Linked DNA regions of Mus musculus. The main gene of each other region encodes a partner of the protein of the gene in region 3 in a complex. Links are inferred from orthologs where the notes say so. Each region holds a gene or a part of one and is shown on either strand. Other genes may lie near its edges. The genes, in order: Prpf38a, Smu1 and Ik.

Region 1 (3,652 bases), on a different chromosome or scaffold from region 3:
GATGCATGTAGATGAGTTCATTTATGAACTCCTGCACAGTGAGAGAGTCTGTGATATCATTTTGCCCCGGCTACAGGTATGAGACAAAGGTCACCTTTTACTTCTCACATAAACACAAATACCTACTGAAACACTGAAGCTTTAAGAGTTGTCTTAATAAGTCCTTATACCAAAATTTACAAAGGGTAGGGAATGAGATAAAAGCAGGTAATGTTTCATGGGTAGGCTTTGAAAATGAATAGAGGAAAGGATGTCTTATCCCAAATATACCTGGAGTATTGTTTTTTCAAATTGGTAAGCTAGGCTAAGAAACAGAAGAAAGATCACTCAGAATGAGAAAGAAAACACTCAATCCTTTAAACGTCTTGTGTCTTGTTTATCATCTTCCTTCACACCCAAAGTGATAACTATTCATGAAGCAACAAAAAAAAGGAGAACCTTTAGGCCTGAGAAAATGGCTTAGTGGGTAAAACACTTGCTGTACAAGCCTGACACTCTGAGTTCATATCCTTAGAACCCACACAGAAGGAAGACGGAGGATAATGCCAAAAGCTTACAGATCAGCTAACCTAGCATCCACATGTACACTCTGGCATATGTGCTTCACAGATAAAATTGTAAAATATTGAAAGAACTAAACAACCTTACCGAAAGTTTATTGTGCCAGGCATAATAATTGTGGTGCTGGACTTTAGTCCCAGCACTTGGAAACCTGCTCTAGCTCTAGGACAACTAAGCCTTCATGGTGAGACCATCTCAAAAAACAAATAAGCCTCACCACCAAAGAACCCTACAAACAACAACAAAAACAAAACAAACAAAAACCGCCCAGTGTTAGCGAAATGGTTCAGTGGTTAAGAGTGCTTGATCTGTAAACATAAGGACCTGAGTTCAAGTCCCCAAGCACCCATGTAAAAAGCATGGCTGCTAAGTACCTATAACCCAAGCTTGGCAGGCAGAAACAGACAGATGTTTAGAACTTGCTGGCCAGATAGTATAGCCAAAATGGCAAGCTTCCTGCTCAGGTAAAGACTTGTCTCTCACTGAACTAAACTGGGAAGCAACAGAAGACACTGTGGCCCTATTCTGGCATGGGTAAGCTGGCATGTGTATTTGCAGACTCATGTATTTGTGTCACACACACAAATGAGCAAATTTGCCTTTATAAAATTAAAACATTTACTTTTCATGTTATTTTAATTAATCATTATTAATGCTGGGGGTGTGTGAATGTGCCAGGGCATATAGGGGCCAGAGGACAATCAATTTTCACCTTCTACCAGAGAATGCCAGAAGAGGGCATTGGATCCTTTGGAACTAGTGAGCCACCATGTGGGTACTCGAGCTGAACTCAGGTCCTTTCCAAGTGCAGCAAGTTCTCTTAATAGCTGAATCATCTCTTCAGCCCTGAAGGTAACATTTTTGATGACACACAAATTGATTGACAATGTATTGACCTTACAGTATAAGACCACAGGAAATAGAAACAATTGAAAATGAACTTGTTCCCTTCAGCAATCTGTTTATGTTTGTAGGGGACCTTTAAAAAGCATATGGAGGGGCTGGAGAGATGACTCGACGGTTAAGAGCACCTACTGCTCTTTGGATGGTTCTGAGTTCAAATCCCAGCAACCACATGGTGGCTCACAACCATCTATAATGAGATCAGACACCCTCTTCTGGAATGTCTGAAGACAGCTATGATGTACTTACATATAGTAAATAAATAAATCTTTTTTTTTTTTAGAATTACTCTTTTTTTTTTTTTTAGGTATTTTCCTCATTTACATTTCCAATGCTATCCCAAAAGTCCCCCCATACCCTCCCCCCCACTCCCCTACCCACCCACTCCCACTTTTTGGCCCTGGCGTTCCCCTGTACTGGGGCATATAAAGTTTGCAAGTCCAATGGGCCTCTCTTCCCAGTGATGGCTGACTAGGCCATCTTTTGATACATATGCATCTAGAGTAAAGAGCTCCGGGGTACTGGTTAGTTCATAATGTTGTTCCACCTATAGGGTTGCAGACCCCTTTAACTCCTTGGGTACTTTCTCTAGCTCCTCTATTGGGGGCCCTGTGATCCATCCAATAGCTGACTGTGAGCATCCACTTCTGTGTTTGGCAGGCCCCAGCATAGTCTCACAAGAGACAGCTATATCTGGGTCCTTTCAGCAAAATCTTGTTAGTGTATGCAATGGTGTCAGCGTTTGGAGGCTGATTATGGGATGGATCCCTGGATCTGGCAGTCTCTAGATGGTCCATCCTTTTGTCACAGCTCCAAACTTTGTCTCTGTAACTCCTTCCATGGGTGTTTTGTTCCCAATTCTAAGAAGGGGCAAAGTGTCCACACTTTGGTCTTTGTTCTTGAGTTTCATGCGTTTAGCAAATTGTATCTTATATCTTGGGTATCCTAAGTTTCTGGGTTAATATCCACTTATCAGTGAGTACATATTGTGTGAATAAATCTTTTTTAAAAGGGGAGGCATATGGATTCCACTGTATATTAATATCATACCAGAGCTGTGGTTCCAAGGCTTTTCTGTCAACCCCAGAAACTCTGTTAGGATCAGGCTATGGAAGAAATGGCAATGACTGTTGACGTTGTGGTCCCTGTAGAAACGGTATGTGCTGGAAGAAGCTGAGCAACTGGAGCCTCGAGTTAGTGCCCTAGAAGAGGACATGGATGATGTGGAGTCTAGTGAGGAAGAGGAGGAGGAAGATGAGAAGGTAAGGCATGTATGAAAGTGGTAAGGCTGGGAAGGAAGGAAGGAATAGCCCTTATTTTGTAAGCTTTAGTTTGTAAATTAATGATAACCTTTCCTTTTTACATTCTTTGTGGATTAATTACTTTTGGGTTCCTTTTGGACAGGGAGAGCTCTAGTGTGTGGATAAGACTAGCAAGACATTTCAGTTCTGCCTCAGGAATAGTAGGATCACAGGCCTGTGCCTAAAAAATAAGAATGCTGTATTCTTACTAAAATTAGGAGCTTTGGTGTCAAATACCCCTTTGGCTTGAATACCTCTTCTCTGTCATAGTAGTGGTATAGTCTTAATTGTCCTGATTTTTCTCCCTTTGAGTTAGGGATTGATTGCATCCACAGTGTCACTTATGCTGAATGCATATTCTATCCCTGAGGTACACTCAGTCTCTACTGCTGCGTTAGATTGCTTGTCTTCTGTAAAGCAAGGAGGAGTACAGTACTTTTCTCTGAAGACTGTTTTGTGTTCATGAAGGTATATTCCCACATAATTGGTAAATGAATGGTAGCTATCAAAAAACTTGGACAAAACATGCTTGAACATACTCTTAAGGGGAGAAGTTACCTGCTACATAGTCATATTTTGTCAGAATTAATAATTATAGTGCTGAAAAGTGGAAAACAACCCACCTCAGCAGTCAGGATGTAAGGAGTCAGGTCGATTGTTGAAATGATTTTTAAGCAGCCATTAAAATGATGGAAATGTGGGAGTGCTTCTAGTAACTGCTCTAAAGCATTTGCAATTACATTCTAAGAAACACTGCAAGAACCAGAAGGACATATAAGAAATGCTTGGCGTGGTGACACATGCCTTTAATTTGAACCCTCTAGAGAGACAGAAACAGCTCTGTGAGTTTGAGACCAGCTAGAGTTGCACAGTGAGACCTTATCTCT
Region 2 (3,652 bases), on a different chromosome or scaffold from region 3:
ATTTTTTTGGTTTTTCGAGACAGGGTTTCTCTGTATAGCCTTGGCTGTCCTGGAACTCACTTTGTAGACCAGGCTGGCCTCGAACTCAGAAATCCGCCTGCCTCTGCCTTCCAAGTGCTGGGATTAAAGGCGTGCGCCACCACCGCCCGGTGCGTCAGAAGATTCTTTATCCTCCCCTTTCCGCCTTAGCCAGGCAGATTGAGCCGTTGGCCTGCAGCTTGATGCTGCCTTGGTCTGTTAGCACTGTGTTGTGAACTGTGTCTGCTAACACTTTATTCACATGTTTTATTTTCTTCATAAAGGTTTGGAAGATTCAGAGTGGACAGTGTTTGAGAAGATTTGAAAGGGCACATAGTAAAGGTGTCACCTGTCTAAGCTTTTCCAAGGACAGCAGTCAGATCCTCAGTGCTTCTTTTGACCAGACAATACGGTAAGAGGAATCCCTGAACTGTCTTCCTGAAGATTTGATAAATAGACGAAGGCCCCCGAGAGAAGAAGTTCCAGTGTGTCTATGATGTTTCCAGGATGGGGTGATACAGATAGCAAGGGTGTGTGGGGCTCATTGTCCCCAGTTCAGGTGGCACAGCACTGTTCTGTTTGAGTTGTATCCAGAAGAGATTTGAAAGGGTGGGATAACAGTGTTTCATGTTTCTTAGTGTGTGGTGTGTGAAGCTAGGTGTGGAGGTGGAGGCTTGGACTCTCAGCCCTTGGAAGGCAGAGACAAATAGACCATGAGCCGGGCGTGGTGGCGCACGCCTTTAATCCCAGCACTCTGGAGGCAGAGGCAGGTGGATTTCTGAGTTCGAGGCCAGCCTGGTCTACAGAGTGAGTTCCAGGATAGCCAGAGCTATACAGAGAAACCCTGTCTCGAAAAACCAAAAAAAAAAAAAAAAAAAAAACAAAAAACCAAATAGACCATGAATCCTAAGCCAGCGTGAACTCCCTAGTGAAACTCTGTCTTAAAAACAAAAGTGTGGTCTGTGGCTCGACCTGTGTTATAATCACTTTAGAGGACAGTTTTACAAATTGCTGGGACACAGCTGAGATCACTAATTACTAATCTCTTATTTACTAGTCTCTTATTACTAATCTCTCATTTACTAGTCTGCACAGAAGCCTAGGTTACTGACATTTCTCGAAGTTTCTTACTGTGCAGTTTATATTGGTTTTGTTTCATTGTTTGACATAATAAAAATGATACTGTGTATAGTTCTTCATTTAATATTGTATAATGCTATTATAATTCATCTTAAATACATTCAACACTTTGCTTCCAGAAATAACATGCTGGATATTATTGTTTTACTTTTACTTGATAGAATTCATGGTTTAAAATCTGGAAAAACCCTGAAGGAATTTCGAGGCCATTCCTCCTTTGTTAATGAAGCAACGTTTACACAGGATGGACATTACATTATCAGTGCGTCCTCTGATGGCACTGTGAAGGTGACACATTCCCCTCCAGTCATTGTGGGCTGTCTGCCATGTGTTCCGTTTTAAGAAGGTATTGGTGGTCAGGATGGTGGTGATGCAGCGTGTGAGTCTGAGACCACGGTTCCTTACTGCTCTGTAGGGTCTGCAGTCCTAGAACCTCTAACTCATATAACCCAAGCTTTATCATGGAGAGAAAGAGTGAACTCAGTGATGCTGCCTTCATAGATACACGCAGTAGTTCAGTCTTCCCCTAGCTGTAAGCCAGTGCTTAGAGTCAAATCAAAAGTCTCAGTGACCAAGTAAATCCCTGTTTCTTGTGTTTCTCCCCAAGTTTAGGGCTTTCCTTATATTTGAAGAGGAGTAGGGGAAAGAAAGCGCACAAGTGTAGTGAAAGCCATCTGTAACCTTGGGCCTTTCCACCCACGCCCAGGTTCACAAAATAAGGCTCTGAGACTTCTTACATATGAATAAATGCCTAGGCCAACAGGCTTGGCTCTGTTCCCCAACCAGCTCATAATTATCTATTTATTCTAAGTTGTGCTCCATGGCTGGTTACCTGGTCCTCGGTTTCATGCAACTGTCTTCTGTGTCTAGGTGAATCTTTCATGCCGGAATTCTTTCTCTGTGCTGGATGCCCTGCCTTCTAATCATGTATCAGCTCACTTACCCGGTGGCTTTTTATTGACAGTTGAAGCTTCCATACATTGCACAAGAGACTATCTCTACACAGAAATAATAACTTCCCAGCAGGGGCTGGAGAGATGGCTCAGTGGTTAAGAACACTGACTGCTCTTTCGAAGGTCCTGAGTTCAAATCCCAGCAACCACATGGTGGCTCACAACCATCTATAATGAGATTGGATGCCCTCCTCTGGTGCATCTGAAGACAGCTACAGTGTACTTACATATAATAAATCTTTGAAGAAAAAAAAAAGAACCTCCCAGAAGTTGAATCTGAGGCAGTCCTGCCACGTGATCAGTGCCAGCCTAGGGTCTATGAGACCTTGTCTTCAAAAAACAAGGGACCAGGTGGTGGTAGCACATGCCTTTAATCCCAGGACTCAGAGGCGGAGGCAGGGGGATTGATCTCTGAGCTCGAGGCCAGCCTGGTCTACAGAGCTAGTTCTCAGGCAGTTGGTTACACAGAGAAACCTTGTCTTGAAAAACAAAACAAAACAAAACAAAACAAAACCAATCTAGTGGTGGGAGAGACAGCTCAGTGAATGAGTGGCCGCTGCTCTTGAAGAAGACTCCTGTCAGTTCCCAGCACTTACCCGGTGGCTCTTAAACACCTGTGACTGTAGTTCCAGTTGGCTTAGTTCTCTCTTGGTCCCTGGCGCTGGAGGCACTGGAGGCTGTGCATCCCACGAAGGCCAGTGGTACACTTGAATCCGTAAGTGGGAATACACGTGCTCAGAACTCTCCAGTACCCTTCGCCTGGCATAGCTCAGCCGAGGTATTTGCTCTTTCTCCAGTTCCTTAAAGATTTGCTTCTTTCAGAGGCTGGAGAAAAGGCTCAATGGTTAGGAGCATTTGCTGCTTCTCCAGAGAGCCAGGGGTTTGATCCTTGTACCCATGCTCTAGAATAGCCTGGGGAAGAAGGGAAGAAAAAATTACCCAGGAACGAAGCTATGGCTCAGTAAAGTGCTCGCTAGGCAAACATGAGGACTTACGTTTGATTTCCAGCACCCCATAAAAGCTGGGTGCCAGTAATCCCAGAACTGGGAAGGAGACAGGGCAGTCCCTGGAGCTTTCCAAACAGACATTTCATCTGAATCCTTAAATCCAAGTTCAGTGAGAGATCCTGTCTCAGCTTACAACTGTCTGTGTCTTCAGTTCCAGGGGATCAGGTGCCCTTCTGGCCAACTCAGGAACCTGCCTATATATGGCCTATGCTTACACAAACACTTTATTTATTTTCTCACTTATTATTTTGGTGTTTTGAGACAGCCTCACAGTGTAGGTCTGGCTGTCTTGGAAGACCAGGCTGGCTTTGAACTCATTTGAGATCTGCCCACCTCACCTCTGCCCCACCCCCACCCCCCAGCTAAGCTGCTAAAGTACCCCAGGCTGGCCTCGAACTCAGAAATCTGCCTGCCTCTGCCTCCCGAGTGCTGGGACTAAAGGTGTGTGCCGCCACTCCCAGTGTGCCCTTTCTTTTTCTTTCTTTTTTTTTTTTTAAAGATTTATTTATTATTATATGTAAGTACACTGTAGTT
Region 3 (3,652 bases):
ACGTCCTGGTAAGAACAGCTCATTTCGCTCATATGATTTACTCTTGAAAAGCATCCGATACACATTCCGGCCTATATAAAGAAAAAGATATTCAAACAGCCAGTGTAACTTCCATTGTTACAGTAGTCATTTATCACCTACTCTGTGCTAAGCATCAGCTGCTCTACCACAGTACATCTTCAAAAAACCCTATGCTGTCAGATAAGCATTATTACTTTTTACTGGCTAAAATACTAAAGCTGCCACACAGTGGTGGTTAATGCCTTTAATTCCAATTCCTTGGGAGGCAGAGGCAGGTGGATCTCTGTGGGTTCAAGGCCAGCCTGGTCTATAGAGCTATTTCCAGATTAGCTAGGGCTACAAAAAGATAACCCTTCTCAAAACAAACAAGCAAACAAACAAAGAATATAAAGCTAACCCAGGAGTAGTGACACAAACCTTTAATCCCAGCACTCAGGAGGCAGAGGCAGGTGAATCTCTGTGTAGCCCTGGCCATCCTGGAACCCACTCTGCAGACCATGCTGGCCTCGAACTCAGAGAGATCCATCTGCCTCATGCACCAGCTCCACTAAGCTGGTTTAAGATTTTATTAATGACAACAGAAAAACACTTCATTGCAAGCTCATTATATACACTTTTATGCATTTCACTTCTCTTTATTTCTAAACAATCACACAGGTACACGTTAAGCTAACTTTATATACAAGAAAAGTGAGCAAAGTACACACCTAGTGGGATTTCATCAGAAGGAATCAAATCCAGGTCTCTCCACATTCTTTAATCTCTAATCATGCTACATTCTTTTCATGTGTGTACACGTGAAAGCCAACAGTCATTTGCAGTGTCAGCCCTTAAACACCATCCTCTTATTGGTCGGGAGTTCACCAAGTTGACTAAGCAGGCTAGTCAGCAAGACCAAGGAATCCACCTGTCTCTAAGCCCCCAGCATTGAAATTATAAGAGCACCACCACACCCAGCTTTTATATATGGGTTCTAGGTATCACTTCAGGTCTTCCTGCTTGAGCTTGTAAAAAGATACACTTTACCAACTGAATTATCTCTCTAGTCATCCATGCTACCTTCTCTATATTTTTGTTATTTTGTTATTTATGTTCAGCTTTTAAAAAATTAATTGGCTTTATTTGTTTACTCTTTCACTTACTGTCTTTGAGATGGGAGTCTCATGATGCAGCCCAGGCTTGCCCTACTCTTAGTCAAGACCATCTTCCCAAATGCTGGGACTATAGGTATGCATCACTATGCTATCAGTTATTTTGAGTTTTTCAAAGCAGGGACTTGCTAATTACCCAATGCTGGCCTTCAACTGGCCATCTTCCCACTTCAGCCGTGTGAGCTCTAAGTCTACAAGGATGCATCATCACTTCCCACCTATCCACCCTTCTCTGATACACACATAGAAAAGACATGGAAAGGCTCCTGTCTAACTGAAGAGACATAAATGATATGAAAAATAATTAAGTCTATGTCTGGGTCCACTGAAAATGGACCCAGACATAGACTTTCATGCCAGGTGGTGATGGCCCATGTTTAATCCCAACACTTGGGAGGCAGAAGGAAACAGATCTCTGTGGGTTTGAGGCCAGAACTACAAATTGAGTTCCAGGACAGCCAGGGCTACACAGAGAACCCCTGTCAGGAGGAAAAAAAAAAAACCAATAAACTTCCTTATAATCCACATAAAATGCAATCACTACTATAGAGACTACACTACTCACCAAGGCGTGTTTTAAATTCAATTTTGTTCTCAGGATCCTCATCTTTCCTAAAAATAGAAGAAGAAAATATTGGGGGGTGGGGCAGTATAAAGAACAGAAAATGTCCACTGTAAGTGCTCACTTCCACTGTCAAGCCCTCTCCTGCTGACTCACTTGGTTTCCTTTTGGGGCTTTTCCATGAGTTCCTCTTCCTCCTTCTCTTTGCTGGCAATCTCAGCGCGCACCTGACCAAGTACACAAGTGTAAAAGGAAGGAAGGATCCGGGCCCTTAACCACACTAGGGTGACAGACAAGAGAAGACTTCCCCAAGGAATTCAGTCACAAGTTCTACAGACAGGGCACCTATAATTCTTCCGCCAAACTAATGGTCTGGACAATCATGTGTCCTTCACTTTACAAATGTCCAAACATGAACACTAGTATTTCTCTCCACATCTTCAAATAGAACTCACCTTTTGAAGCAACGCAAAATCCAAACCTTTCACCAAATGGGTGTGTTCCATATCACCACCCAAGAATTTGGACTCCTGAATCAACTGTCTTCTCTTCTCTGCTGCTGATTTGTCCCTGAATAATGAAACAGCCATGTTAAAAGAGTCCTTTATGAATGACAAATTCCTTCTGAAATGTCAGTGTGCTGCAGAGTAGGTTAAAAAACATATAGTGTGACTGTGTCTCTGATAGGGTGAAAACAGGCCTTAGGATCCCCCTTTACTCACGCCTCAGCAGTGGGGCCCACAGCCCTGTAGTTGGCTGTGGTACTTATCAGCTCAGTTTCCTCATAGTCTTTGTTCACACCATCTCTCCGTTCCTTGGCACGGTCCCGGTATTTCTCTGCGAGTTCTCTCTCTCTCTCAATTTCTTGCTGGCGAAGCTTGGCATAATAACTGTGACCAGAGAAAGGAAATGTACAGCTTACCAACTCCTATATCAAGGCCAACACAAATGTTCCTTTTTCCCTATACCTTTAAGTAGCTCTCTGTGGTGAAAACTATGTATGTCCTGATAGAACTGCCAGTCAACTCTTGATTGTCATCAACCTCAGAAATTCAGTTTCCTCTAACGCAGATTTTCTTTTTGACTACTACCACATGCCCTCTCAGAGATGTACCTGCACGGTAGGAAACCCCCCGTCTGTTACTAGACAACTCCTCTACTCCTTTGCCCACAAACTGTGCTCCCTTACAAAGCAATCTCCTCCACTATCCCTTTACCTTTTCTTTTTCCTCCTTCGTGCAGCTGGGTCTTCATCCTCATTGTACTCCCTTGGCATCCTAAAAGATACAAGAAACTCACTCATAGGAAAATTATGCCCCAGCCCTTAAAACTCACAAGGCATTGAGAACACATCAGAGGCTGAGATAACAGGATAAATTCAAGGCCAGCCTGAACTACATGGTAAAGTCCAGTCAAGTCTAGACAATGTCTCAAAAGAAAAGAAAAGAAAAGAAAAGAAAAGAAAAGAAAAGAGCAGAACAGCCAGTTGTGACAGCACACACCTTTGCGCTCAGCACTCAGTAGGTCTCTGTGAGCACAAGGCCAACCTTGTCTACACAGTGACAAGGCTAGCTAGCCAGCCATGGTTATTTAGTCAGACTATTCTTAAATAAGAGAGAGAGAAAACAAAAATAACAAAATACAAAAACCAGTGCTGATCAGGCAGTCATAATATTATCAATACCTGTATCACTCAAGTTTTCAAAAGTATCATAAATATTTAATTGACATTAACATTAGACACCAATCAAAAAAACCCGTTGTAGACTATACAGTAATAATAACAGGCCCAGAAATCTGTCCATTTGTACAAGCAATGACTCTATTACTAATACTCATGAAGGAATAATAAGAACCCAGAGCATCCCAGTCATCACTGAAACTTCAGTCTTTATAGAAAAAAAATCGGAAGCAGAGG

The links.
Region 1: Ik (region 3) and Prpf38a share a complex: the UniProt entries of both Homo sapiens proteins name them as parts of the spliceosome B complex. The link is inferred for Mus musculus from reciprocal best matches to the Homo sapiens genes IK and PRPF38A.
Region 2: Ik (region 3) and Smu1 share a complex: the UniProt entries of both Homo sapiens proteins name them as parts of the spliceosome B complex. The link is inferred for Mus musculus from reciprocal best matches to the Homo sapiens genes IK and SMU1.

The regions. Positions count from the first base shown.
Region 1 is NC_000070.6:108,569,230-108,572,881, reverse strand, and holds part of Prpf38a (pre-mRNA-splicing factor 38A), read left to right. Parts: coding exon 1-76; intron 77-2,615; coding exon 2,616-2,726; intron 2,727-3,652. UniProt on the Homo sapiens protein: Involved in pre-mRNA splicing as a component of the spliceosome.
Region 2 is NC_000070.6:40,740,809-40,744,460, reverse strand, and holds part of Smu1 (WD40 repeat-containing protein SMU1), read left to right. Parts: intron 1-302; coding exon 303-430; intron 431-1,319; coding exon 1,320-1,446; intron 1,447-3,652. UniProt on the Homo sapiens protein: Involved in pre-mRNA splicing as a component of the spliceosome. Regulates alternative splicing of the HSPG2 pre-mRNA. Required for normal accumulation of IK.
Region 3 is NC_000084.6:36,747,523-36,751,174, reverse strand, and holds part of Ik (protein Red), read right to left. Parts: intron 3,012-3,652; coding exon 2,952-3,011; intron 2,625-2,951; coding exon 2,457-2,624; intron 2,305-2,456; coding exon 2,190-2,304; intron 1,962-2,189; coding exon 1,891-1,961; intron 1,785-1,890; coding exon 1,738-1,784; intron 72-1,737; coding exon 1-71. UniProt on the Homo sapiens protein: Involved in pre-mRNA splicing as a component of the spliceosome. Auxiliary spliceosomal protein that regulates selection of alternative splice sites in a small set of target pre-mRNA species. Required for normal mitotic cell cycle progression.